Linked DNA regions of Callithrix jacchus. The protein of the gene in region 3 purifies or fractionates together with the protein of the main gene of each other region. This does not show direct contact. Links are inferred from orthologs where the notes say so. Each region holds a gene or a part of one and is shown on either strand. Other genes may lie near its edges. The genes, in order: CCND1, XPO1, HDAC3, WDR5, RUNX1, ATXN3 and STAT3.

Region 1 (4,254 bases), on a different chromosome or scaffold from region 3:
AAACCATTCTGGAATAATACACTAACTGCTGGCTACCTGTGTCAGAGGGTGCGCTGAAATAGGTTTGGGGGGGCTCTGCCCTCAAGGGATTGGGGGAGAAGATGCTATTGTGTCTTTGATGTCCCGGACCTTGTGGCCTGTCACCCAGAGTGAGCCCACAAACAGATGTGACAACTGAGGCTTGACCAAAAGGGGGCAGGGCCCCCCCATCAGGGTAACCAGGGAAGGAGGCGCACAGGGGGGTCAGAGGCAGGGCTGGGGACAGCAGGAGGCAGCACCCTGTGTATGCATGTGTCTATCCCAGTTGGGTCCTGGGGCCAGGGCCATGCCAGCGGAGGTGAGGACTGGGTACTTCTGCTGCCCACGGTGGCGGCCTAAGCTGAGACTGCTCTGAAGTGCTCCCCAGGGCTCAGCTGAGCCCAGCAGACTGGCGGCACCCCTGGCAGGGCCTCAGGCAGCTGAGCTCCTCTGCTGGACACCCCTGCACTCAGCTGCCCAGAACACGTGGTGCAGGCGGGCCGACAGCTCTCCCCGCCCCCGGAGGCGCCTCTGGCAAGTCGCCCAGCCTGGGAGAGGCCAGGAGGGGGCCCCCGCAGCTCAGGCTCCTTAAGGACACAAGAAGGGCTGGAGGTCGGTGGGGAAAGGAGGCGGCCCTGCGGCCAAGGTAAACCCCTTTCGGCCTGGAGGATGAGGCCACAGCATCTAGACACAGGCAGGCTGGCTGCGTGGTGGCGCGGCCGTAAGGGCAAATCCCCTTCCATCCAGCGCAAACAAGCCAGCACCTCTGCTCACCAGAGCTGGAAGAACTCTTCCCAGCGCAGGCGGGGGCCTAGGGACGTCCTCCGGGACAGCACCCAGGTGCAGAGCAAGAAGCTGGCCAGGCCACCTAAGGTGCTGGCTTTCAAGGGGAGGCTGGGGGCGGCTGGGCCTGCCCTACCTGTAGCGCAGAGGGCAACGAAGGTCTGCGCGTGTTTGCGGATGATCTGTTTGTTCTCCTCCGCCTCTGGCATTTTGGAGAGGAAGTGTTCGATGAAATCGTGCGGGGTCATGGCGGCCAGGTTCCACTTGAGCTTGTTCACCAGGAGCAGCTCCATTTGCTGCGAACACAGGGTGAGCGGCTATCAGGGGAGGTGCGGGCCGGCCTGGGGACGCGGGGAAGCCGGCAGTATGGCCCTAGCCCCTGAGTCTCGTGTGGTCCTGGGGGTGCGGGAGCAGGACTGGCGAATGCTGGGGGGTCCAGGAAGCTGGGGCAACACACGATCCCAGATCAAAACAGAAAAGGCGCCCGCCGCGTGAAAAGATTCTGCAAGTGGAAACAAAAAGACTTCCCACCACCTGGAACGGAAGGCTCAGCGTGGAGCGCGGCGTTCCCGGTGCAGCCGCTGGAGGGCGCGCGCCGCCCATTTTTCGGCCACACCGCAGAGCGCTAACGAGGTGGGAGTCGCAGGCAAGCGCGCACGGGGCGGCTAGGATCCCACCCGCTCCCAGGACGAGGACACCCGGCAAAGGGGCCGCCTGCCGCCCCTGCACCTTCCCCGGCCCGGTGGTCCTGCGGCTCGCGGGGGGCGGCGGGGGTCCCGCGGTTACCAGCAGCTCCTCGGGCTGGATGGAGTTGTCGGTGTAGATGCACAGCTTCTCGGCCGTCAGGGGGATGGTCTCCTTCATCTTAGAGGCCACGAACATGCAGGTGGCCCCCAGCAGCTGCAGGCGGCTCTTTTTCACTGGCTCCAGCGACAGGAAGCGGTCCAGGTAGTTCATGGCCAGCGGGAAGACCTCCTCCTCGCACTTCTGCTCCTCGCAGACCTGCGGGGGCACGGGGCCCGTGACCGCCGCCGCCAGGTCGCGCCACCCCCACCCCACTCCCCCGCCCTCGCATGCCCATCGCGCTCGGCAGGACCACCAGTTCTGGAGGGCGCCGAGGGGTCGGGGCCGGGGGCGGCAGAAGCTTCCTGTGATGCGCCCCCTCTCGCGCGCGTCCCGAGTATCCACCCTCCCTGAAACTGAAAGGGAAAGTCCCCGCGAGGCTGGCATGGTGGGGGCGGGAGCGGGCACAGCTGGGCGGCGGCGCGGGCTGCAGGCCCCGGGGACCCCAGCCCGCCCTGGAGCTCCGTGGCCCCTCTGGCTGTGGGTCGACACCCACTGGGGTGCGGGGCCGCGCAAAAGGCCGCGGGGTTGGGCGCCGCGCCTGCGAGACACAAAGGTGGCGTCCCAGGCCGCCGCGCCGCATTTCCCCAGACGTCATCTTTTCAAAAAATATTTAAAAATATTTAAAAAATAACTAAGTGCGTAAAAATACCCTGAAAATGACCCTCGGACGGCCCTTTACCCAGGCCGGGGGTCGGGAGTTTGTTACAGGGTCCGGGGGAAGCCCCAGGAATTCAAACTCCGGGGACCCCCTTCCCCCTGGGCGCGGGCGGTGTTTCCCTCTCGCAAGGGCACCACGCCGCACTTTCAAAAATTATTTAAAAATACTTGCGGGCCCCTCAGGCGCCTACCGAAGGTGTGAAAATGTTCTCCCAGGCCCCCGGCTCGCTCGGAGAAGGTCCCCCAAGCCGAGATCCCTGCAGACGGGGATCCAGCCCTGGCGTCTTGGGGGCCACGCGACCTTGCAGCTCGGCGTGCTCTCCGGCCCAGGCTGCCCGTGCGGGGCGCTTTGGGACTCGCTGCTTGAACAAAGGCCCCCCTTTCCCCAGCGGGGTCCCCCCAAAACTACCCATGCTGCGTCCCCGCGCCCCTCCCGCGGGCTCCGGGCAGCCGCCGGGCCCCTAGTTGCGGCCCCAGCGCCCGGCGGCCGCTCCCCGCCCCCACCCTGCCCCCAATTATTAATAAACACTTTTGCTGTGCAATAAAAGAGCAAAGATGGCGCATAATACTGGCACGAGAAGCCCTTGCATACGTGTCCATGGATAGTAATTTAAAAATCAAATCTATGCCCCCTCCCCCCGGAGTTGGAGGCTCTCGGCCGCGGCGGCCGGGAGAGGAGCCGCAGCATGGCTGGGGCGCAGGCGGGGGGCACAAAGCGCACCTAACCTGCCAGCCCGCACCCTCGGGCCCATTGGGGTGCTCCTGGCACTGGCTTCTCCTGGAGGCACCCCTCCCCGACCCCCTCCTCCCGTCCCAGGAAACGCAACTCCTAGCACCCCCACCCCCACCCCTTCCTTCTTCAGAAAATACCCACAATTTTTATTTTGAAAATACCTAGCAACACCCCGGCAAACTTCAAAGGTCTAGCGGGAGAGAAGAGAGGGGAGTGAGAAGCAAAGAAACGTGGGTATGGGCAACAAGTTGCAGGGAGGTCTTAAGAGAGCCGCCCGAAGCCCCGCACCTCCAGCATCCAGGTGGCCACGATCTTCCGCATGGACGGCAGGACCTCCTTCTGCACACATTTGAAGTAGGACACGGAGGGTGCGCAGGTCTCCTCCGCCTTCAGCATGGCCCGCAGCACCCGGTCGTTGAGGAGGTTGGCATCGGGGTAGGCGCGGCGGATGGCCTCCACTTCGCAGCACAGGAGCTGGTGTTCCATGGCTGGGGCTCTGCCTGGGCAGCTGGGGAGGGCTGTGGGTTCCGGCTGCGTCCGCGCTCGGCTCTCGCTCCTGCTGCCCCGCGCTCCCTCGCGCTCTTCTGCCCCTCGCCGGAGCGCGCGGACTCTGCTGCTCGCGGCTACTGCGCCGACAGCCCTCTGGAGGCTCCAGGACTTTGCAACTTCAACAAAACTCCCCTGTAGTCCGTGTGACGTTACTGTTGTTAAGCAGAGATCAAAGCCGGGCAGAGAATGGGAGCGGGAGGGGGCGGGGGCGGGCGCAGGGGGAGGGGGCGCGGGCGCCAAACGCCGGGAGCAGCGAGGGGCAGAGCCCAAAAGCCATCCCCGAGGCGCCGCGCCTGCCCTGCGGCGGAGTTGCCCCCGTAGTCCGGTTTTCATAGAAATGCAAATCGCCCCGCTGCAGCCTTTCTCCCCGCCAGAAAAGAGGGGTACAGGGGGCCCGGTCCGACTCGAACGGGTCCCCCGGGATTTGGGGGTGGGGTGGAGGTGGCTCTGCAGTAGGGGACAACTGGGAAGCCCCACAGGCCACACGCAGCCTAGGGAGACCACGAGGAGGGGGGACTCCGGGGCGCGGCGACACCCCATATCCAAGCCGGCAGAATCGGCGCATTTCCAAGAACGCCACGAGGGCACCCACGAGCGGACAGACGGCCAAAGAATCTCAGTTTCTGCATCTCCTTTCATTTTCATTAACACGTGTAAATTTCAAGAAC
Region 2 (2,819 bases), on a different chromosome or scaffold from region 3:
AGGTTGGTCTTGAACTCTTGAACTCAAGTAATCTGCCCACCTAGGCCTCACAAAGTGCTGGTATTACAGGTGTGAGCTACCAAGCCTGGCCCCCACTCACCCTTTTTAGAAGACTCATGGCTATTTTTATTTACATTTTACTTACTTACATTTTATAATAATACAACTAATACTTGTACCAGGTTATATCTGTGTTCTCATTCTAAGGCTAATGTGTATTCTGTTACACTTAGATGCTAACTAGAGTTAGACAACAAGTGCCCTGTAATCCCAAATAAAGGTAAAATGAGTCAAAATGTCACAGGAGTAATAATTTGTTTCTTGAGAACAAAAGGAGCACGCTCATATTACACACCTGCTACCTTTACTAGTAACAATAACTGTAGACATCTTACTTGTAAACCAAGGTGTCAAACTTCATTTAAAATGTTACTTGATGCTTAAACACAAATAACCACTATCATTAATATACAAATAAATCTGAGTCGATAAAGGAAAAATAAATGTAAACCAAGTTTATTTTGCTTTTTAAGTAGTGTTCTTAAAGCACTACAGCTTGGTAAACAATGTAAATTAGTATAAGTCATCTCAAAAGCCAGAGTTGTTTTGTTTTGTTTTTTAATGAGTTGTTAAAAAGATGCAGCCTATTCTAACAGGATAAATATTTTTAACCATTTCACTTCGAGTTAATGAAGGCTCACAAATGAGCAACACTCCTCATTGAGGAAAACAAAAAGCTGTTGTCGACAAGCGACAGCACACACACACAAAAACAAAAAGAACTGTGTAAAAATAACTAACTGTGTTCCCATATTTTTGAAGTCGCTTTACAATGGGATGATATGCACATGATCTTGCTGCAAACTTGCCAAAGAGACTTTTAATACATATAGTCTAGACAAACGATTCAGTCCAAGAGTTGCTAACTTCAGACAATGCAGCACTATAATCCTTTAAACAACGCAATTTGTTTTACTCATTATCTTTTCTTCTAGACTGAAACAGACTAGAAAGAAAATGCTCCCTAATTAAAAATTGGTATTGTTTACAGGAAAAAACGTGTAATTTTGCATTAGAATTTACAAGTCTATGTTCAAATCGAATTTGCCTCCTCCCCCCCAGCCCAGCCACAAAAATGGGCATGAAGTAAAATTTTTAAAAATGCCTTAATTTTCAACTTCATGCAAACTAAATAAAGACGACCAAAACAAAAGCTTAAACAATGGAAGGATATTTCACAGAAAATTTCTTATACAAAAAAACACATAAGAAAAAGGGCCACTAGGTGACATTTTAATTTACAAATTGGCATCATTTTGGTCGACAAATACCCACATGCTGTTTTCCTCTGCCAACAAGAGTTGCAGAGAAAAAAAACAGCATGAATTTTGCTTTTAATCACACATCTCTTCTGGAATCTCATGTGGATTAAAGATGCCAGGGACAGACATTTGACGTTTATGTTTCTCTTCATCAGCCTGACGTAGGGCTATTTCTCTTTCTTCCAAAAACAAATCAGAAGTGTCTTCACCTGCAAACTCCTGTGAAAACAGATAGTTGAAATGTCAATGCAATAAACTTCAACTTGCCTTTGAAAAATAAAGAAATCACAGATGAGCTATTTCCTTTTAGAGAAGGAATATAAATTATCCATAAGCTAGCAGGGTTTTTGGCTGGGTGCAGTGGCTCACATCTGTAATCCCAGCACTTTGGGAAGCTGAGGTGGGCAGATCACAAGGTCAAGAGATCGAGACCATCCTGGCCAACATGGTGAAACTCCATCTCTACTAAAATATAAAAATTAGCTGGGCATGGTGGCACACGCCTGTAGTCACAGCTACTTGGGAGGCTGAGACCGGAGAATTGCTTGAACCCAGGAGATGGAGGCTGCAGCGGGCTGAAATCACACCACTGCACTCCAGCCTGGTGCCTGGCGACAAACCAAGACTCTGTCTCAAAAACAAAAAAAACCTGATAGGGTTTTAAATTATAGACTAGTGATACAATATACTGTGTAGCTGAATTAACCTCAATATTTTCCCCCAGTTGCTAGCTGGAGAAAAATAAGGTTACAGAACAATTACAGGGCTGGTACAGCCTGTAATCCCAACACTTTGGGAAGCCGAGACAGGTGAATCACGTAAGGTCAGGGGTTTGAGACCAGCCTGGCCAACATGGTGAAACCCTGTCTCTACTAAAAATATAAAAATTAGCTGGGTGTGGTGGCAGGTGTCTGTAATCCCAGCTCCTTGGGAGGCTGAGGCAAGAGAATCACTTGATCCTGGGAGGCAGAGGCTGCAGTGAGCCAAGATCACACCACATTGCACTCGAGCCTGAGCAACAAGAGCAAGACCTCCTCTCAAAAAAAAAATAAATAAATAAATACAAATTCATGGTGTGATACCATGTATTAAATATTCAATGTGATTATTACATATTGTATGCTTCTACCTAAGTATCTCATGCATTTCATCCCATAGATATATACACCTTCTATGTATCCACAGAAATTTGTTCTCTGAGAGTCTTGTTCTGTCACCCCAATGTATGATCTCAACCTCTGCCTCCAAGGCAAGCCTTATAAAAAGGACTACTAATGTTTTTCTTAGGCACTATTCCATTATATACTTAACAATCCCTAAAATGAATTATATTAATAATAAGTTCACCCAAATAACATCTCAAACCTATCTTTATTGGACCTGATTTAGTTTTTCACTCCATTACTGGTCTCAGGTTCTTTGATTAGTGAGATTGTATAAATGTATTATCTTCAAACTCCACTTATTTGGCATGACAAATCAAATGATACAAATTCT
Region 3 (4,186 bases):
CCGTCTCTTGGTATTCTGCACTTGGCCTTTTTTCTGTTCCTCAAATGAGTCATACTCAATCCTACCACAGACCCTTATCACATGTTGTCCCTACTGCTGCTATACTCTGCCCCTCACCCTCCAACCACCTTTGATCTGACTACTTCTACTCTTTTTTCAGATCTCAGCTCAATCTTTACTTCCTCTAGGAAGCCAGCCACTCCACCAAGCTAGAAAATTCACCATGTATACACTCTCATAATCTGTCATATACCTCCTCTTCATAATACTTAGCAAAAACACAATATTAAAATTTTGGTTTTGTTCATCACTGCATTCCCAACACTTAGCACAGGGCCTACCCCAGAGCAAATGACAAATAAATATTTATTGAATAAACAAATAAGTTAATTATGATTCTTTGACAAGCAGGCCCCCCTTCAGATGTTCCCACTGGTGCCAAAATACCTCACTGAAGGGACTGGAATTAAACTGTTGGACATCAAAAGTCCCAGTCGTTCCTTACCAGTCATCGCCTACATTGAAGGCATTAAGACTCTTGGTGAAGCCTTGCATATTTGTGGGGCTAACTCTCTGCAGGAAGTCAATGTAGTCCTCGGAGTGGAAGCGGCACATGTCATGCTGGGAGGCCTGGTATGGCTTGAAGACCTCAGGATGGAGACACAAGATGAACTCAGGCAGGGTCAGCCCCACTCCACAGGCTCAGACCACCCATACTGAACCCAGTCCTGGAGATTCTATGAAACCAAACATAACAATACTCTCATCCCACAATCGTTAAGTCAGGAGAGAGACTCCAACTAACCAGGTGGGCTATTACAATTGAGCCCCCTGAAGACCACTTCTTTTCCTTTCCACCTCCAGCTCAACCTATCGTACCTTCTCAACTTTGAGCCCTGATCCACCTGCCCTGTTCCTTGGCTTTCCTATTCCCATTTCTCTCCATGCTCATCTCCTCCCCCAAGCTCTGATTCTGTCCTCTTTCCTCTGGATTCTTCTTTCTGGAGTCAACTATATGGGATATATGTCAACTTTCTAATTAAAATCAAAGATTTATCATCTCTGGAAGGTGAGGGGGATGTGTCACACCTCCTTGAAAACTGGACAAGAAAGAGCTTTTCAGGCTGGGCGTGGTGGCTCAAGCCTGTAATCCCAGCATTTTGGGAGGCCAAGGCGGGTGGATCACGAGGTCAAGAGATTGAGACCATCCTGGTCAACATGGTGAAACCCCATCTCTACTAAAAATACAAAAAATTAGCTGGGCATAATGGTGTGTGCCTGTGATCCCAGCTACTCAGGAGGCTAAGGCAGGAGAATTGCCTGAACTCAGGAGGCAGAGGCTGCGGTGAGCCGAGATTGCACCATTGCACTCCAGCCTGGGTAACAAGAGCGAAACTCCGTCTCCAAAAAAAAAAGAAAGAGCTTTTCTTCTCCCAGAAAATGCACACAGGTACGTACGGGCAAACAATCTCAAGGGGTATAGATTCCTGCACATACATCACCTCAGTCTTTTCTATGACCAATCCATTCGTCTGTGCCTTGGCATAAGCAATTAACACTCATTCATATTGTTCACTAATTTCCTAGCAACACATAAAGCCTGGGCTGTCTTATTTTTTCTTTTGAGACAAGGTCCTCCCTGTCACTCAGGCTGCAGTGCTACAGCATGATCATAGCTCACTGTAACTTCAAACTCTTGGGCCCAAGCCATCCTGTCACCTCAGCCTCCCAAGTAGTTGGGACTACAGGCACACCCACCACGCATGGCTACTTTTATTTTTTATTTTTGTAGAGATGTGGGTCCCACTGTGGCCCGAGCTGGTCTCCAACTCCTAGCCTCAAGCAATCCTCCCATTTCAGCCTCCCAAAGTGCTGGGATTACAGGCATGGGCCACCATGCCTGGCTTAACTGTTACTATCCCATATCACAGCCATAAATTCCAAGCTTGGGGGACAGCATGTGTATGTCTGGGAGATGAAAAACTGGATAGCAATTAAGCAGAACCATGTAGAGGTATTCTAGGCTGAAAACGCAATATCTAGGATATCTCCACTCTTGCACACGCACATACACACTTACAAACATGGCAGCACTGTTGGTAAAGGAGGAGTGGGAACTGAGGGTAAATCTCACACCCCGATAAAGTGATATCCTTTCCCCCATCCCAATTCCTGAGGCTTAGGCCCTATCCACACTCTAAAATGCAGAGGAGGAACACACCTTCTGTCTTCAAACCAGTCCCACATCACCCTAACCCTAGGCCAAGGGCCAGTCTGTCTATAGTCAGAGGGTGGCGGACCTGCGGTGAGAAAGTACTTTCAATTAAGCAGAGGACGCCACCCCCAACACCGTGCACATTCAAGGTACTCCTGATGTCTTCTATCCAGCTTCCCCCTACTTTAGGGGCGGGTCGCATTCAATGCACTCAGACCAGCCCACCTATCCCTACGGCCACAGTTCTCCCCACCCCCCAACCCACGGCCGAGGCAGGGGGACTCACGATCATCTTCTTATAGAGACCGTAGTGCAGGACGAGGCTATGGGTCAATGCCAGGCGATGGGGCTTCATGGGGTGTCCAGCTCCTGGGGGGTGGGGAGAAGAGAGTTCGTCAGCTCTCACCCCTGGAGTTTCAACCCCCACCTCCAAATCTCCGCGTCCCAACCCCTCGTGCATATCCCTGTTTCTTCACCGTAGTGGAAGTTGCCCACGTCGGGGTCGTAGAAATAGGCCACGGTCTTGGCCATGGTGCCGGCGGGAGCAGGCCCCGCGCCTCCGCCGCCCGCCGCCAGCCCCGCCCCGGCCGTGCGTGCTGCGCCAGCACGTAGCCTGCCTCTGCGGAACTGGGCGGTGCGGGGCCCGCCTCCAGCCACACCCGGGCCAGGCCCCCAGAGGAGCTCCGCCCCTCGCCCGTCTCCGCTCTCCCGGGATCTGGGGCTTTGGGCGTCCAGGCGGGGAACTGGTAGCATCGCTCCTAGGATGCAAGGGCCTTTTCTCTCCGGCCGGGGGTCAGATCCTCGGAAAGCCGAGCCATCCCATCCAGCCGCTTGCCCCAAACCGGGCGCAGGCCGTGGTCACTTCTCTAGGAAGCTACGAAGGTCCCGCCACTCCCTCCCTCAAAGGTGCGGAAAGCCGGCTTCCCCCAGCCCTCGGGGAAGATTCCTGACTCCCCGCTCGGTCGGGGCATCTGAGGGCAGGAGCTGCGCCAGGCGTGCCGGATAGTGGACAACACCCACACCGGACAGCTTGTCCCCCACCCGGACCCAGACTCCGCGCCGCACATTGCCCCGGGGGGGCCCGGCGCAGTCACGCGCGCGCAAGGCTCACGCTCTCCGCCCATTACACCTGCGCTCCGCCCCCTGGTCCTGGGCCTGCGACCGGCGAAGGCGTTTGGGAAGCCAGGGCGGCTGCGGAGGCGCCCATCTCCCTGATCCAGGGCCGGGGTTGCTCGAAGCCTGCCGCCGCTCCCAGCCAGCCCGCATCCTTCTCTGTCCTTCCCTCCCCCCGCCTGCCACGGCGCCGGTATCCGCAGCCACAGCCCGGGGCCGGTGAGGCGGCGAAGGGGGAGGGGAGGAATCAAGGGATGAGCGCCGGGAGGGCGTCGGGGGCCCTGAGCCGCACTAGGACGCCCCTGGAGCCGGAACCCGAGCGGAAGCCGGAACCAGAACCAAATCACCGGTACTGGGCGGGCCAGGTGGTCTGGGTGGAAGAAACCGAAAAGGGGAAGGGGTGCGGGAGTACTGAGAGGAGAGGGTTGCAGAGGCCTGGCTCAGACCGGCTCGGAGGAGGTGAGGGCGCTGACTCAGGCGCGATTTCTGCTCCCGCCGCCTAAGAATTCCGTCCCATCTCGTGCTGCAGTGTCCTTGGGAGGGACAGAAGCGCGAACAAGCTGTAAAGGGAAACGCTCGGGGCGTCGGGGAAACAGGACCAGGGTTGTGGTAGAGAGCTTGCGTAGCCGCTCACCTCTTGCCTCGGGCGGTACTGGCGAACCAGCACCCTTGGCCCGGACAGCTCCCCGGTTGGGTAGGGGGTGGAGCCGGACCGCTGAGACTAGCTTGTTTCAGACCCTGAGCAAGGCATTCCTACCCCTCCCCCATTCCCAGCTGCAGCCCCCTAAACCCAGGAGGCGCCCTGGCCCGCGCTCGCCCCCCAGGACCTCATGTCGGAACCACAGCCTGACCTGGAAC
Region 4 (4,106 bases), on a different chromosome or scaffold from region 3:
TTCTGGAAAAGCAGCCTCAAGTACACCAGGGATATTCTACGAGCAAGACCAACATGCAAGGGAATGAAAAAAGACTGTTTCAGCTTGACAATAAAATTTACCCAAAATCTCTCTAGTAAGCAGCTAGTTTCCTCCATCTCGAGAATAGATCCATTACTTGAATACGTCTCATAAAAGCACAACAGGTTATTCTGAAAGGAGGCACAGCATCACTAAAAAAGCAAGCCACTGAGACATGCTTGCAAATACCACTGGCCATCAGAATTCTGGAAGCTAGCACCACCATCCATCTAACGAGTTTACACACTGTACGTTCTAGTTTGCAGCTTGAAACCGAAATCTTGCAAGGCTGCTTGTAACATTAAGGTGAAACGGAAGGCATCAAAAAGAGTCTCAAAGTCTTGATGCAAGAGGAAGGCAGAGAAACTACAACACCCACTTTCCAGAAAACAGGTGTGGCCACAGATCCATTTCGCCTGCAGCAAAGATTCCCTTCGAAAGGATGGATCACGATGCATCTAAAGCCTGAGCATCACACACTCTCACACACACACATACACACACACACACACACACACACACACACACACACGAGTGGGGAAGGGGAGGGGCAGGCCCTGTAGAGCTGCCCAGAGTACAAAGTGCCAGTACAAAGCCAGTCCTCGGTAAATGCCGGCTACATGGTGCTTGTCATAAGTGCAACCTGGCCATGGCAATTTAACCCAACTGCTGCCTTCTCCCTGGCACGCTGGACAAGTACAAGGAGAGGGAGGAGCTACGGAAATCCAAGCAAAAAGCTGCAAAGTCCACTGCAAAGGTCCTAGCCGGAGACAGCCAAGTCAGGGCAAGAGCTGAGTGAAGTGTGGCCGTTCCCTACCCAAGTGAAACACCAGAGGAACAGAAGGCAGAACCGGCAGCTCAGAGGGCCGAGCAGCTCCAGTCAGCTGTCTACTCACCTAGGTGAGTCCAGATGCCTGAAACACCCTCAGGCAAGGCGCAGCAGACTGGCGGTCTTACAAAAGGAGCTCAACCCCTCCCAGCTCAGGCCCACCCACCCCACCCTTTGGGCTCTAAAAACATTAACAAGTAAAAGAAACAAAGAAACAAAAAAAACCCTTAACTTTAACATGCCTTTTAAGAATAGAGTTTCTTGACACTACACACCCACCAATTTCTACCTCAGTGGTGGGGTCTAGGCTTGAAATTTTCTTTTTTTTTTTTTTTTTTGGGTCGAGGCTGGAGTGCAGTGGCAAGATCTTGGCTCATTACAACCTCCGCCTCCGGAGTTCAAGCGATTTTCATGCTCAGCCTCCAGAGAAGCTGGGATTACAGGCGAGCACCACCATACCCGGCTAATTTTTTGCATTTTTAGTAAAGACGGGTTTTGCCATGTTGCCCAGGCTGATCTCGAAGTCCTGAGCTCAGCAATCTGCCTGCCTCAGCCTCCCCAAGTGCTGGATTACAGGTGTGAGCCACCACACCCAGCCCAAAGCTTGGCATTTTCATAAACACCCAGGAGTTTCTGTGAAGAATCACTTTAAGGGAACAGGAAGGTTGGCGACTTGATGCTGAAAAAGTGGGGGCCAAGAAGGTTCCATGCACGGTGATGAGGAGTTGACCGCCCCCGCCCAGGTGCGGCCTGGCTCCTCCTAGCAGCTGCTGCTTTTCATCCAGGTAAGCCTGACCACCTGAAGCCCAGCAACTAAAGCTCAGTATGCTCTCCTGGGCTGGATGCCACTGGCGGATTCCGGAGTCCCTCAGTCCCCAAGGTGGAGCCCAGGAATCGGCCTGCGGCATGCTGTCCAAGAGAGCATGCTGCGTGCAGACCGGAATGAATGTGCATCCCAAACAGCAGCCAGGTGGCCGGCCCGACAGCGGTGGGAACCCGGCGCTGCGCATCTCAGGTCCTGGACGGGCTCCCGGCCTGGGTCCTTCGCTTACCCATCTGTCTTCCCCACCGGCTAGCACCGCACCTGCCCAGGTCACAGCGTAAGCATTTGGGAGATAGGAAAACAGACCTGGGTAGCTGGAAACTTGCCTGCGAGACAGCAGGGAGGGTCGTTAGCGGGAAGTAACAGCCCAACCTCCGTCTAGTCCGGGAACGTAACCGCTCAAGATGGCTCTCGCAGACCGGCCAGGACTGGTCTGCGGCCCCGCGCGAGGAGGAGCGGGGGACCCTCCGTTCAGGAGCGAGGACCCGAACCCCAGGACCCCACCTAGCGAGGTGCAGCCTGGCTGCCTCCGGTTGGAGTGAGCGGCGGGAGCGGGCTGGGGCGTTTCTACGAAGGGAAGCGCCACGTCCGGGGACTGACTGGCTCGTGGGTCTGGTCCTTCCCTGGAGATGGAGGAAGAGGAGCGATGTGAGGCCGGGCGCGCCGCCGAGGGAGAGGCCCCAGTACCGGCGCTCGGGCCTTGTCAGCGGCCCGCCAGGGAATCGGAGGTGGGAGCGCCGGTGGGGGCGGGCGGGGTGCAGGGGCCTGCGCGCGCGGCCGTCCACCGAGGAGCCCGTGAGGGGGTCCCGGGCGGGGCCGCCGCAGTGGGGGTAGCGCCGGGGGCTGGGCCTGGCCGGAGGCCCGGCAAGGAACACGTGCGGCGGCCGGGGACGATGTGAGGGCTTCTGGCGCCGTCCCACTCCCCGCCTCGTGCCCCCCGGGCCGGGCGGCTGCCCACTTACCTGTCGGGCCGCGGCGGCGGGGCCGGGCGCTCGGGACGTCGCGTCGGCCGCCTCCTGGGCGGGAGCGCGGACTCTGCGCGACAAGGCGGCAGCTCCGGCGGGCGCCAGGCGGCGGGGGCGCAGTGCGCGTGCGCGAGGGGAGGGGGCGTTGTCCAAAGGCGGGGCGAGCGCACAAAGCCCGCCTCTCGGAGAAGCGCTACGGGCCGCGGCTGCGGCCAGAATGCCTCGGGCAGGCCCAACGCTTTAAAGGAACCGCGCCGGGAGCACGCTTCCCGCTTTAAAGCTTTAATCCCGAATTCAGCTGCCGCAGGCCCTTCTAATGCACTTCCTAAAAATGGAAGTATAATAATACATACAGGAAAGTGCTAGTGTGCTCTCGCGTTTCCAAGACTGAGTACGCCCTGCACACTGGGACCAGAGGCCCTCCGGGACCCGCGCAGGTGGCGTCGCCTGGCGTTGTCCCCGGAATCGAGGCGGACCGGGGCACCTCCCCGGGCGACCAGGCCCCTTCTGGATCATCGCCGGTACGGATGACAGCGGCAGTGGGCGTTTGGAAAGCACTTGGGGCCGCGCCCGGGCGCAGTGCCCCCCATGTGGCCGCCTACCCTGGGCGGGCAGGACGACTCCGGCCCATTTAGAAGCCCCAGAGCCTGCGCGTTCACTGAGCTCGGAAGCCCGGGCTGCGCCTCCCCGCGGGGCCGGCTGCTCTTCCCGCCTCTGCTGGCACAGAGCCAGCGGTGCGCGCACCTGCTCCTCCCCAGCCCCGCGGACTGGGAGAGCCGCGTTGGAGACACCCGCGCCCGCTCCGCAGTGCGCAAACTCACTTTGCACAGGGCTCTCTGGGGCCAACCCTTTCCTCCTGGGCGGGTATTTTCACCTACGGGTACAAGGGGGTGGTCCCCAGAGGAGGACCCCGGGGCCTAGAAGGTGAGGCCCGGTCGTCTAGCCCTGACTACTGTGCATTCTCGCCTCCTGCTTCACTTCTTAGAGCCTTGGAGGTAGGTACGGCCTCCCTACCCGCTCAACTAGGCCTGTGGGAAGAATAACATGCAGTCACTTATTCTCCAATTTAAAATGGGAACACAGAATATGACACAGGAACCCGTGCAAACAAAGGGACAGAGCATTTGAAATAAAAATGTCCGGGGAGAGTGAGGTGTGCGCTTGTCAGAAAGGCTGAACCGAAAGACTGGCAGATGGTCTGGAATCCCCTTCCCAGGAAGGACACAGAAGGGAAGGTTCCTGTGTGGTCCGGCAGGGCTGCGTGTGGATCTGTGTGCCCAAAAGGCCTGGTCCCTTGGGCCAGGTGCCCTGGAGCATGGAACAGTGACTGTCACAGGTTAGCAAACCAAGCTCGGATGAAGGCCATCTCCATTCCGTCCACCTGGCTGCCTGGGCCAGAATCCCCGCCCATCACCTGCTGTTCTCCCCC
Region 5 (4,022 bases), on a different chromosome or scaffold from region 3:
TATAGGCCGTCAGAAATGACCGCATTGACCACTGTGAGTAGCCCAGCTACAGCAACAGCCTGAGAACGGTCAGGAGAGCCATTTGCTGGTGGGGGTGGTGATTGTTTTAGCATCAAGCTCTAAGATGATGACCAAACGATACCAACAGAAATGATATTTTACCACCTCTCCAGCTTGGATGAATGATGTGGACGGGTAAACAGGACAATTTATGTTGATAGATCACTTGGATGAAATTAACCAAAAGATTGCCAAGATTTCACGTGGCCCTCCGACATTAAATCTCAATATTATATTATCAAATTAGAGATTCTGAAGGGCCCCGGATTTCTTTCAGTGAAAGGAAGGAATGGAGAAACCTTTTCAGATTAGCCCTTTTGAGTCTTAGTGAGAGCTCAGGCCCTCCCCACACTGCCCTCGTGAAAGTTTAACTGACCCTCATTCCCAACCTGGGGCAGGTCAGCTGAGTATCCATTGGGCACAGGAGCCCTGGGCTTGTCCAGGAGAGAGCTGGACTCCTGCTATCTCCTGATGTCTGCACAGGTCACCGTGTCCCCTCACCATCTTTGCTGTTGGCCATTAAGAAGAGCCCCAGAGGCTGGCACTGCACTCTGAAATGCAACCTATCTCCCAGCAGAATGCTTAAAAATTTCCTGAATCTGCCTTCCTGAGTTGATAAAATAGGAAACAATATACGTTCCGAGGGGATATTGAAAGCAGAGTAAGGGCAGGAAGATCTTTTTTTTTCTGTTATTCTACGAATAGTATTGCTTCCTCTGCTTGTTAGCAGCCCAGAGGAAATGCAGCCAGGGGCCGTTTGCAGCTTTTCACCAGTGGCCGGTGTTTCTGTGTTACCAACTGCAAGACGAGTGACTAATGTATGTCTGTGTGATTCAACTTCACTAAAATTCCCTCTGCCGGTAAAGAAGCACTTGAAAACTCTTTAATTTGAAGCTCAAACTTGGTTAATGACTTGCTTTCTTCCCTTTCTCCTTAACTTCTCCCTTGCCATCCCCAACACACACACACACACACACACACACACACACACACACAGAAACACACACACACAGAAACACACACACACAGAAACACACACACACAAACACACACACGTCAAGTTTTTTTAAATTTCAGAGACCCGGAAACATAGAGCCCCGTGCATTCACAATAGCATTTACTGTGATAAAGCGGCTGGCAGGGCCTCTGCATTCCCCTGCTCACTTAGCTGTATGAATAAATAATGAGTCACAGACATTATTTGGGTGCTCGAGAGAGTTTGTAGCCAGAAAATTAATTATTCCCCCATCCCAGCCCACTCCATCTCAGCTCTGCCAAACCATCAAGCCACGCTTTGCGGGCACTGGTCAGAGTGCGTGCCCTGATGCACACGGCGATGCCTTTGTGACATTGTTCGTTATTATTTTTGTTTGTTTAAACACAGCCCGCTTTTACCACGAAAGATACACAAAACGGACATGCACACACATACACTCACGGCTCAACCACAGCTTCGTGAGTTTCAAGAGGCTGGTTTCAAAAATGGAGACAGGTTTTCCACCCTGGCTATTCCCATTCATAAGCCTGTAATCTAATGACTTAAGCTGCGAGAACATTTAACTTAGGAGACTTCTTTGCGCTTTTCCAGAGAGACCTCAGTATGCCACGATTTGCCTCCTTGTCTCTTAAAAGATGCTGGTTGTCTCTGCATTGAGGCTGCAAGGGAAAACACAGCACAGTTCCATGCTGATGATTTTAACCTAACCAATTCTGTCAGGCTCCTGTACTCTCTGCCTGGTAGACAGCTGCCTTGCCACTTTGGACAGAAGTCACCAGCCTAGTGCAAGTCTACCCGAGAGCCTCCGTCTCCTGCCCAACACTGGCACCAGCCCTCCTGGCTGGCTCTTGCATGTGCCTGCTAAGCCCCGGGGCAGGCTGCATTCTGGGCCACACAGCATGCGGAGTGAAGGGTAACTCAGACACAGTCATTCCGGGCAAGGGACAGCAAAATAAAACCCAGGGAGCTTCGTGCAAGCTTCGTCATCTCTAAGCCTTTAAACAAGACCGGCACAATTTACTCGCACTTAACAAAGTTCTCACGCACCGACTGAACACTCTACCAGTGTAACTAAGTATTTATTAAAACATTTCTGAAGAGCTTCCATCTGATGAGTAAGTAATCCAATAGCTTTGTAATCATATGCCTCAGTTCGAATTCCTCCCACAAACCAGACAGGGAACCGACAGGCACCGAGGCATCTCTGCACCGAGGTGAAACAGGCTGCCATTTCATTACAGGCAAAGCTGAGCAAAAGTACATATTTCAAGACCAGCGTGTACTCACCTCTCATGAAGCACTGTGGGTACGAAGGAAATGACTCAAATATGCTGTCTGAAGCCATCGCTTCCTCCTGAAAATGCACCCTCTTCTGAAGGCGGGGGACTCAATGATTTCTTTTGCCTTCGGAGGGAAAACCAAGAAAGATCACTGCTTCAGTCTCACCCCCTACTCTACATCTCTCTTTCTTTTTCCCCCCTGCTGGATACCTCTGGGACTCCCCAAGCCCTATTAAAAAATGCACCTTGTGGAAACAAATATTCAAATTGTTAAAGATTAAAAAAAATTAAAAAACCAGCGCCGCCTTGGCTGTGGGTTGGTGATGCTCACCCGCTGCGAAACCCTGTGGTTTGCATTCAGTGTGATTAGTCCTGCCTGCTGACCACTGTGCTGGGTTCAGACTTCTGACACTGCCAGGCTACCCAACTTGTGGTTCTGTGGTTGTTTATGAGGCCCAAAGAAGTTTTCACACAACCCAAATTACAAATTTAACTGTTCCCCTTTCCACATCCCATCCTGATTGGTTCTTGGTGATCATGTGACTTAAGTGATGTCAATTTTTTTTTTTCTTTTCTGAGCAATGCCCTTCCTTCCCTCCACCTGCCCTCCCCCAGGCTGTGCAAGAAAATAGCCGAGTAGAATTTGCAAGAGGCGGGATGCAGAGAAAAGTGACTCAGTCTCTTATTATATCTCAATGGCCTTTGCTGATTTAGTACAACTCGGCTCCTGTTGTTATTTGTGGTTTTTGGAACTACTGATTATTTTGATAAAGATTTCATTGCTGCTTATTCAATAGTAATTCAACGCTGGCATCAAGCCACTGCTCCCACAGGATGTGGATCCCATCATTTAAAATGCTCAGCATCAGCTCCGGCAGAGTTAAGTCCTTTGGTAAAGACTATCATGGCATAAGTGAAACTATAAAAGGGAAAAATAAATAAAAGGAAACGTCTTGGTGAGAGTCTGACCCCTACACGGGGCTGGCAACTCCCAGGTATTTTAAAGCCTGGGAATGGAAAAGAATTTTACTTTTGAAATAAAAAGGCTATTTTAATGAAACCAAAATTATGTGGTTTTATTCCTTCTAAATGGACAACTTTAGTATGTATCTCAGTAAAGAGATAAAATCATAGTACTCTCTTAACACACACATTAGGAAGCTAAAGGAAAATAAAGCAAAGAGAATTCCTGTATTTGGGACAAAGCTGTAGTTACTCTGCTGTTTGTGTTCTCACTTGGGAAGGCTCCCTGCATCACCTTTCTCTAGTTCAATTCAAATCAACAGGCTAATTTACACCTGTATGTAAAACTACACTTTGAGCACGTGAGGATTTCACAATAGAAGGGGAACCAGGAGGAAACACTTCTCCAGGGCAAGCTCCTTCTCCTGGGGCTAATAAATATTATATAGCACATCTGTCCTCTACAGAAAGACATGACTGTTTGAAGATGCTAAACATGGGATAATTTTATAAGTGGGCAAACCACTCTGGTCACACATACTTCTTTTCCTGCCCCATTGGCTTTACCTGCTGACAAATAAAACATCATTTTGTTTTGTAGTTCCAAGACAAAGAAAGACTTGTTTTCCTAACTAACTACCTTATTCAATTTTGCTCTGCCTACATCTGCATAGCACTCCATGCACATGAAATGTTGGCTCGAGAGAACCTGTGTGATGATG
Region 6 (4,177 bases), on a different chromosome or scaffold from region 3:
TAACCTCCATCTCCCAGGTTCAAGTGATTCTCCTGCCTCAGCCTCTTGAGTAGCCGGGGTTACAGGCGTGCGCCACCACGCCTGACTAATTTTTGCATTTTTAGTAGAGACGGGGTTTCACCATGTTGGCCAGGCTGGTCTTGAACTTCTGACCTCAGGTGATCTCACCTCAGCTTCCCAAAGTGCCAGGATTACAGGCGACAGCCACCGTGCCCAGCCATTTTTTTTTTTTTTTTTTTTTTGGTGAGATGGACAGAGAGAGAAACTCCGTCTCAGAAAAAAAAAAAAAAGTGCATCTTAATCTGGTTTCCAGGTGCAAGATGTGTGCCTATCCTTCCATTTAAGGTTCATCAAACTGCTGCTACCTCCCCGTTTCCCACACAATTCACTGCACCTCTAATTTCCCTCTAAAGGGCCAGAACACCTATGCTGGTAACAAGCCACTTGAATTTGAATCCTAGCAAGGTAACTTACTATCTTGGACATTGTACTCTTCTTAATCTCTCTGTGCCTTGGTTTCCTCATGTGTATGAATAACATCAACACCGACATCAAAGTTTGCTGTATTAAATTTGATAATATGTGTAAAGCAATTAGAAAAGTGCCTAGCTCATGGAAAGCCCTATATGAATATTAGCTAACTTTTTTGTTTTCTTTTTTGTGTGTGTGATGGAGTTTCACTCTTATTGCCCAGGCTGGAGTGCAATGGCACGATCTCAGCTCACCCCAACCTTCATCTCCTGGGTACAAGCGATTCTCCTGCCTCAGCCAACGGAGTAGCTGGGAATTCAGGCATGTGCCACCATGCCTAGCTAATTTTGTATTTTTAGTAGAGATGGGGGTTGCTTCACGTTGGTCAGGCTAGTCTCGAACTCCCAACCTCAGGTGATTCGCCTGCCTCGGCCTCCCAAAGTGCTGGGATTACAGGTGTGAGCCACTACCCCTGGCCTAGCTATCATTTTTATACAAGTGCTAGGTTTTGGGAGAATGTAATGACACCTTTGCTTAACAACCTTTAATTGGAGGAGGAGGAGAAAGATAATAAATAGTTATTTGAACACAGTAGAAAGTTCAAATAAAGTGGAAAACAAAAAGAACATAGAACCCAGGTGAGTGGTCCAGACCTCCGGCCAGAAACCTAAGAATCCATAGAAATGGGTGGGAAGCGGAACAGATCCTCCAAACAGCAGGTGGCGCTGTAGCATCTCCCAGAAGGCCCGCTAACAGAATATAGGAGGACGGGCTACCAAGGTCACGTGTCGCTGGCGTTCACTCGCTCTTTGCTCCACGTGACTCACATCCTCACGGGTGATTGGTCTACGTACTGCACGTGGGCGGGGAGACTGGGGCGGACCAGGGAGGGGCGGGATAGGCGGAGGAGAGGGGCAGGGGGCGGAGCTGGAGGGGGTGGTTCCGCGCGGGGGCCGTTGGCTCCAGACAAATAAACATGGAGTCCATCTTCCACGAGAAAGTGAGTGTCCGCGTTCGGTGGGGAGCTGTATGTCCGTGCGGTGGGGAGCTGTCTGCCGCGCGGTGGCGGGCGTGGAGCGCGGCATCACAACCTCCCAGGGGGCTGGGTGGGGCCCGAGTCGCCCCCATCCGGATCTCGCCGGGCGAGGGGCGACCCCGCAGCCTCCTGCCTCCTCGGCTCTGGAAGGGGAGCATCACAGAATCCCCCACTTCCCCCGCTGCTTCCTAGGCCCCCGCCCGGGAAGCCGGGAGGGTGTATGGGCGGGGCCGGGGCGTCTCGGGACAAGGGAGTGGGGTGGCGCCTAGTGGGTTCGCTTCTGCCTTTTTCCGTCACTTTCAATCGCTTTTCGAAGGATTCTTTGACCTCCGCAAGCCTTCTCTCTCCCTAGGGTCTAGCTAGAGTGACCTCTGGGACATCTCCCTCGACCCCTCCTACCCCATTCCTGGCAGAATTAACTTTTTCATCTCTGGACTGCTCAATTCTATATTGCAGTGTAGAGTCTTCCCTACACGTAGATCTTTGGAGTCTTGTTCATGTCTTTCCCCTGCACTGGGTCCGCAAGCCTCCCGAAGGAAGGGACCTTGGCTCCCCCACACTGGGGCCTGACACTTAGGAAGTGAAGTAGGAAACCCGGCTTGTCCCTTAACAGGGAAGTCGTCACAAGTTTTTATTACGGGATGTTTGGGTTTGGTTTCTTTGGGTACTCCCATCTTTCCGGAGCAGGCGGCCAGCTTTGTGTTTGGGTATTAGGAGTGGATTGGAATGATTTTGTTGTGGTCTGCCTAGCCCGCTGTCACTTTAACTCTTCAGTGACCATGCACTTGAAGATACTGTTTGTGATAAGTGGAGAAACTTGTCTTTACTCACATGCTATTAATCCAGCCATTTGTGTGTGAGTGAAGCCTTCCCCAGGACAACTTTGGCATATGATGTCTTGTTTCATAATAGTTTCGTGTTTGGAGTTGCTGGCGAGGCTGTTATTTAATAGGAGGAGCAAAGGGTTTTTGTTTAATTAAATACTTGTAAATGATCAGTAATTATCACGATTAATTATCCCAGACATTTAAAATTCACACACACACAACAAATAAAGCAAAGGCAATAAATTTACCAGATGTAAATCTGTAATATGAATCTATTTAAAAATTTTTTATTTTAGCGATGGGATTTCATTCTGTCACCCAGGCAGGTGTGCAGTGGAGAGATCCTGGCTCGCTGCAGCCTTGACCTCCTAGGCTCAAGCGATCCTCCTGCCTCAGCCTCACTGGGACTTCTGGTGCATATCGCCATGGCCAGCTAATTTGTGTGTGTGTGTGTGGAGATGAGGGTCTCGCTGTGTCGCCCATGCTTGTCTCAAACTCCTGGACTCGTGATTCTCCCACCTCAGCCTCTCGAAGTGCTGTGATTACAGGCATTAGCCAGCCACTGTGCCTGGAACAAATTGTTAAGTACAATATTTTAAATTGTAGAAAACATCTAGGAAACTTTTAAAATAGACTGATTTAGAGTGGGGGAGGAAAGACTCAGTCGTATAGTTGTTATTAATCTTTTGGTTTGATTGACATGACTTACAAATCATAGACAATAGAGATTTAATTACTTGGCTCAGTAATTAAAGAGTGGGTGGAAAATACACATGTACTTAAAAAAAAAATTTTTTTTTTTTTTTTTTGAGACCAAGTTTTGCTCTTGTCACCCAGGCTGGAATGCAGTGGCACGATCATGGCTCACTGCAACCTCTTCCTCCCTGGTTCAAGGGATTCTCCTGCGTCAGCCTCCAGAGTAGTTGAGATTACAGGTGCCCACCACCACATCCAGCTAATTTTTGTATTTTTAGTAGAGACAGGGTCCATGTTGCCCAGGTCTTGAACCCCTGACCTCAGGTGATCCACCTGCCTTGGCCTCCCAAAGTGCTCGGATTACAGGCATGAGCTACCGCACCCAGCCGTATTTTTGTTACTAACTTTCAAAGGCTTTGATGTGGGACCACATCTCAACATGGAAGGCCTTAAATATGTTCCACACTACTTCCTGAGATTTAGACAAGGTTTTCAACGATATTGATTGTTACCTAGTTGGGACACATTTCTACTGAACCATGGTATGAAAAAAAGTTGGGTGCTAGCCTAGTGAAAATCTACTTACCTGAAAGAAGTCCCTCTTAATTCTTAGCATGTGTGTAGGCCTACAGATACTTCAGGAATACATTTAATGTTATCATCAAGTTGTATGTACATAGCAAATGAAGATTCAACAATTTAGGTTGATGTTTTTGTTTTTTGAGATGGAGTCTCTCTCTCCTGCCCAGGCTGGAGTGCAGTGGCGTGATCTTGGCTCACTGCACTCTCCACCTCCCGGGTTCAAGTGATTCTCCTGCCTTAGCCTCCTGAGTAGCTGGGATTATAGGCGCCCACCATCATGACCAGCTAATTTTTGTATTTTGTTGTTGTTGTTGTTGAGACAGAGTTTTGCTCTTGTTGCCGAGGCTGGAGTGCAATGACACAGTCTCAGCTCACTGCAACCTCCGCCTCCCTGGTTTAAGCGATTCTCCTGTCTCAGCCTCCTGAGTAGCTGGGATTACAGGCGCCCACCACCATGACTGGCTAATTTTTTGTATTTTCAGTAGAGACGGGGTTTCACCATGTTTGCCAAGAGTAGTCTTGAACTCCTGACCACAAGTGATCTGCCTGCCTCAGCCTCCCAAAG
Region 7 (3,500 bases), on a different chromosome or scaffold from region 3:
GCCATTCTCATGCCTCAGACTCCCTAGTAGCTGGGACTACAGGTACACACCACAATGCCCAGCTAATTTTTGTATTTTTAGTAGAGACGGGGTTTCACCATGTTGGCCAAGTTGGTCTCAAACTCCTGACCTCAAGTGACCAGCCTGCCTCGGCTTCCCAAAGTGCCGGGATTACAGGTGTGAGCCACCGCACCTAGCTAGGACTGCTACGTTTTAAAGAGGAAGAATTGTTCAGGGGATAAATGTGAGAACAAGAACAGGGTATCACAATTTTTAAAAATCATTAAACTAGCTTTAGGTCATATTTACCTTTTTCTATTAAAAAAATAAAAATTATTCTTGACACTTGACATTAAGAATCCAACTGAATCAATGAAAGGCAGAAAATAAGGGGGATAAAGAACAAGATGAGTTTTTGTTTGTTCGTTGACTTTATTTTCTCTTTTCCTAAGCAAGCTAACACAAGGTGGTCATTTATTTTAAAGTTTAGCTCGGGACTGTTGCTTTTACACCATCTATCCTACCTCAGTGAGAGAGAAAAATGGGACACTGAGAATGGAGCCAAGCAGAGTCAACGGCAGGATCTGGAAGGGGAATTTGGAAAGCCCCAGGCAAGGTGGAAAGCTACTTTATAACACATGGGTGTGGAGAACGACTCAGCAAGGGACTTTCCACTTCTCCTTAAGGAGGAGCCAACTCCCAGATATTCACAGAAATGCTCCAAGCCACAGAACGCCACAGCACATGGAACTTCTGATCAGGTCACTTTGGCCTGCAATGGCTTTTTGGAATTAACTATAGCTGAAAGGACAGGTTGATGTTTCTAATTCTGGGTAATAAGAAGGGTCTTTTCCCCTTTCTCCCTCAGGGAAAACACCCCCAACAAAACTTACATCACAGTTGGCTCGGCCCCCATTTCCACATCTCTGCTCCCTCAGGGTCTGCAAGGAAAGAAAAAGGCCAGGTGTCCCATGAGGCTCTCCCCAGCTCTCTCCCTCAGCCAGAAGCCCTGTGTGAAGGAAGCTCCTCCCACATACCAAGTGTTTGAATTCTGCAGAAAGGCTCCCATTGTTGGACTCTTCCATGTTCATCACTTTGGTGTTTGTGCCCAGAATGTTAAATTTCCGGGATCTGAATTGCAGGAGAACAGTCAGCCATATAGGTGACCAAGTATAAAGTCAGGATAAAGTTAAGTTAAACGGAACAAAAGGAAGCCTCTAGGCGAAACTTACCCTCTGAGAGCTGCCACATCCCCAGAGTCTCTGTAAGAACATAGACCGTTGTCAGTAAAACAGGGTCCATGTTTCTTCAAAAAGCCTACTTTGACCACCTGTTATTTACTCTCCTGAAAAAACCTCTGTGCTCCTGGCATTTCTATGAACAATTTAGTTACAGTTTATCAGTGCATCATAACACCTTTGTGTAGTAGGCACAGTTGGTTGCCTCCCCATAGGAAGGGGAACCCGTGTTTCACATTGCATATGTACTTATTAAACCTCCCACCTTTGTCAACTCCCTTATTTCATTATTTTCCAGTTCATTGTCATGAAATTTCCAGATAATTATATCAACTAAGTATGTATTTTCTCTTTTCTAATATATTCAAAGGGTATGTGTATCTTACATCCTGAAAGGTATTATAAAATTTTGAGTATTCCATTATATGGTAAAAGTGTGGAACAATTAAAAAAAAAAAAGGCTGGGCATGATGGCTCATGCCTGTAATCCCAGCACTTTGGGAGGCCTCAGCCTCCCAAGGTCAGGGGATCGAGGTGGATCACAAAGTCAGGGGATCAAGACCATCCTGGCCAACATGGTAAAACCCCGTTTCCACTAAAATCCAAAAAAAAAAAAAAAAATTAACTGGGCGTGGTAGTGTGCACCTGCAGTCTCAGCTACTCGGAAGGCTGAGGCATGGGAATTGTCGCTTGAACCCAGAGGCAAAGGTTGCAGTGAGCTGAGATCATACCACTGCACTCCAGCCTGGCGACAGAACAAGACTCCGTCTCAAAAAAAAAAGAAAAAAAAAAAAAAAAAGATCTATTCTTTCCACACGCTATGTATGGAAAGAATACATAAAGACATTTCAGTCAACAACAAACTGCACATATGACAGTGGTCCCATAAGATGATAAGCTGAAAAACTCCTACCGCATTGTGATGTGTGTTACGATTGCCTACGGTATTCAGCATGGTAACATACTGTACAGCTTTGCAGCCTACAAGCAGCAGGCTCTACCACATAGCATAGGCACTCTGCCACCCAGTTTGTATAAAGACCATCTACTCTACATAAATGTTGGCACAACAAAATTGCCTAATGATACATTTTGCAGAATGTATCTCAGTCATCAATTAACACATGATCTCAGTCTTATATATAAAATGCATGAATTACATGTACAAGTAAAACGCTAAACAACAGCAACCACAAATCACACCTATACCCTCAGCTTTGTGGCTTTGTTCTGGCAAGTAAATGACAATGCACCCCAGGGCTTTTGTAAACTTTCATCCCCAAAAACATCTCTGAATAAAGATAGAATCTCGAGTTCAAATGATGCCTATAAAAGTTCTCATTTTTCTGTTCCTCATTTGAAAACAAGAACTAAGATAGGAGTACTTACTTATCAATGCACACTTTAATTTTAAGCTGGTAATTCAACTCAGGGAATTTGACCAGCAACCTATTTAAAAAGAAATTATCCAATTAAAAAAAAAGTCAGTAGACTCTCCCATAACCTTTTGTTGAAGAAAGGTAAAATTCATAATTCTTCATTTCTCAGAGGTAATTGGCCAAGCTGTCTATAATTATAGGCTCACATCTATAATCTCAGCACTGTGGGAGGCAAAGCTGGGAGGATCACTTGAGCCCAGGAGTCCCATAACAGCCTAGGAAACAAAGCGAGAGCCTGCCTTTATAAAAAATTTAAAAATTAGCGGGGTGTGGCAGCATGAACCTATAGTCCCAGTTACTCAGTAGGCTGAGGCAAGAGGATTACTTGTAGCCAGGAGTTCAAGGTTGCAATGAGACATGATCATGCCACTGCACTCCAGCCTGGGTCAAAGAGAGAGATTCTATCTTTCTCTTTAAAAAATGTTAAAATAGGCCAGGCGTGGTGGCTCACACCTGTAAGCCAGAACTTTGGGAGGCCAGGGCAGGCAAATCACCTGAGGTCAGAAGTTCGCGATCAGCCTGACCAACATGACTAAGACCTGTCTCTATACTAAAAATACAAAAATTAGCCGGGCATGATGGTGTATGCCAGTCCAGCTACTCAGGGAGGCTGAGGCAGTAGAATTGCTTGAACCCAGGAGATGGACATAGCAGTGAGCCAAGATCGCACCACTACACTACAGGCTGGGTGGCAGAGAGAGACTCCATCTAAAAAAAAATAATAAAATAAAATAAAGGCCAGGCATGGTGGCTTATGCCTGTAATTCCAGGACTTTGGGAGGCCAAGGTGGGTGGATCACCTGATGTCGGGAGTTGAAGACCA

Evidence for each region.
Region 1: the proteins of HDAC3 (region 3) and CCND1 purify together in Homo sapiens (affinity purification with western blotting; 5 studies listed by BioGRID and IntAct, with this or other methods). This does not show direct contact. The link is inferred for Callithrix jacchus from reciprocal best matches to the Homo sapiens genes HDAC3 and CCND1.
Region 2: the proteins of HDAC3 (region 3) and XPO1 purify together in Homo sapiens (affinity purification with western blotting; 3 studies listed by BioGRID, with this or other methods). This does not show direct contact. The link is inferred for Callithrix jacchus from reciprocal best matches to the Homo sapiens genes HDAC3 and XPO1.
Region 4: the proteins of HDAC3 (region 3) and WDR5 purify together in Homo sapiens (affinity purification with western blotting; 3 studies listed by BioGRID). This does not show direct contact. The link is inferred for Callithrix jacchus from reciprocal best matches to the Homo sapiens genes HDAC3 and WDR5.
Region 5: the proteins of HDAC3 (region 3) and RUNX1 purify together in Homo sapiens (affinity purification with western blotting; 3 studies listed by BioGRID). This does not show direct contact. The link is inferred for Callithrix jacchus from reciprocal best matches to the Homo sapiens genes HDAC3 and RUNX1.
Region 6: the proteins of HDAC3 (region 3) and ATXN3 purify together in Homo sapiens (affinity purification with western blotting; 3 studies listed by BioGRID). This does not show direct contact. The link is inferred for Callithrix jacchus from reciprocal best matches to the Homo sapiens genes HDAC3 and ATXN3.
Region 7: the proteins of HDAC3 (region 3) and STAT3 purify together in Homo sapiens (affinity purification with western blotting; 4 studies listed by BioGRID). This does not show direct contact. The link is inferred for Callithrix jacchus from reciprocal best matches to the Homo sapiens genes HDAC3 and STAT3.

The regions. Positions count from the first base shown.
Region 1 is NC_133511.1:126,558,891-126,563,144, reverse strand, and holds the start of CCND1 (G1/S-specific cyclin-D1), read right to left. Parts: upstream 2,801-4,254; 5' UTR 2,718-2,800; coding exon 2,496-2,717; intron 1,804-2,495; coding exon 1,588-1,803; intron 1,098-1,587; coding exon 938-1,097; intron 1-937. UniProt on the Homo sapiens protein: Regulatory component of the cyclin D1-CDK4 (DC) complex that phosphorylates and inhibits members of the retinoblastoma (RB) protein family including RB1 and regulates the cell-cycle during G(1)/S transition.
Region 2 is NC_133515.1:52,645,317-52,648,135, reverse strand, and holds the end of XPO1 (exportin-1), read right to left. Parts: intron 1,542-2,819; coding exon 1,395-1,541; 3' UTR 501-1,394; downstream 1-500. UniProt on the Homo sapiens protein: Mediates the nuclear export of cellular proteins (cargos) bearing a leucine-rich nuclear export signal (NES) and of RNAs.
Region 3 is NC_133503.1:40,068,918-40,073,103, forward strand, and holds the start of HDAC3 (histone deacetylase 3), read right to left. Parts: upstream 2,801-4,186; 5' UTR 2,747-2,800; coding exon 2,692-2,746; intron 2,585-2,691; coding exon 2,502-2,584; intron 649-2,501; coding exon 506-648; intron 1-505. Other genes in the region: RELL2 (RELT-like protein 2), read left to right, coding at 4,159-4,186. UniProt on the Homo sapiens protein: Histone deacetylase that catalyzes the deacetylation of lysine residues on the N-terminal part of the core histones (H2A, H2B, H3 and H4), and some other non-histone substrates.
Region 4 is NC_133502.1:182,702,646-182,706,751, reverse strand, and holds the start of WDR5 (WD repeat-containing protein 5), read right to left. Parts: upstream 2,801-4,106; 5' UTR 2,675-2,800; intron 2,336-2,674; 5' UTR 2,217-2,335; exon of another isoform or gene 2,019-2,216; intron 1-2,018.
Region 5 is NC_133522.1:41,089,585-41,093,606, forward strand, and holds the start of RUNX1 (runt-related transcription factor 1), read right to left. Parts: upstream 2,801-4,022; 5' UTR 2,669-2,800; intron 2,462-2,668; 5' UTR 2,403-2,461; coding exon 2,345-2,402; intron 1-2,344.
Region 6 is NC_133509.1:126,952,602-126,956,778, reverse strand, and holds the start of ATXN3 (ataxin-3), read left to right. Parts: upstream 1-1,377; 5' UTR 1,378-1,447; coding exon 1,448-1,471; intron 1,472-2,763; exon of another isoform or gene 2,764-2,902; intron 2,903-4,177. UniProt on the Homo sapiens protein: Deubiquitinating enzyme involved in protein homeostasis maintenance, transcription, cytoskeleton regulation, myogenesis and degradation of misfolded chaperone substrates.
Region 7 is NC_133506.1:121,758,031-121,761,530, forward strand, and holds part of STAT3 (signal transducer and activator of transcription 3), read right to left. Parts: intron 2,688-3,500; coding exon 2,628-2,687; intron 1,263-2,627; coding exon 1,233-1,262; intron 1,132-1,232; coding exon 1,038-1,131; intron 942-1,037; coding exon 894-941; intron 1-893. UniProt on the Homo sapiens protein: Signal transducer and transcription activator that mediates cellular responses to interleukins, KITLG/SCF, LEP and other growth factors. Once activated, recruits coactivators, such as NCOA1 or MED1, to the promoter region of the target gene.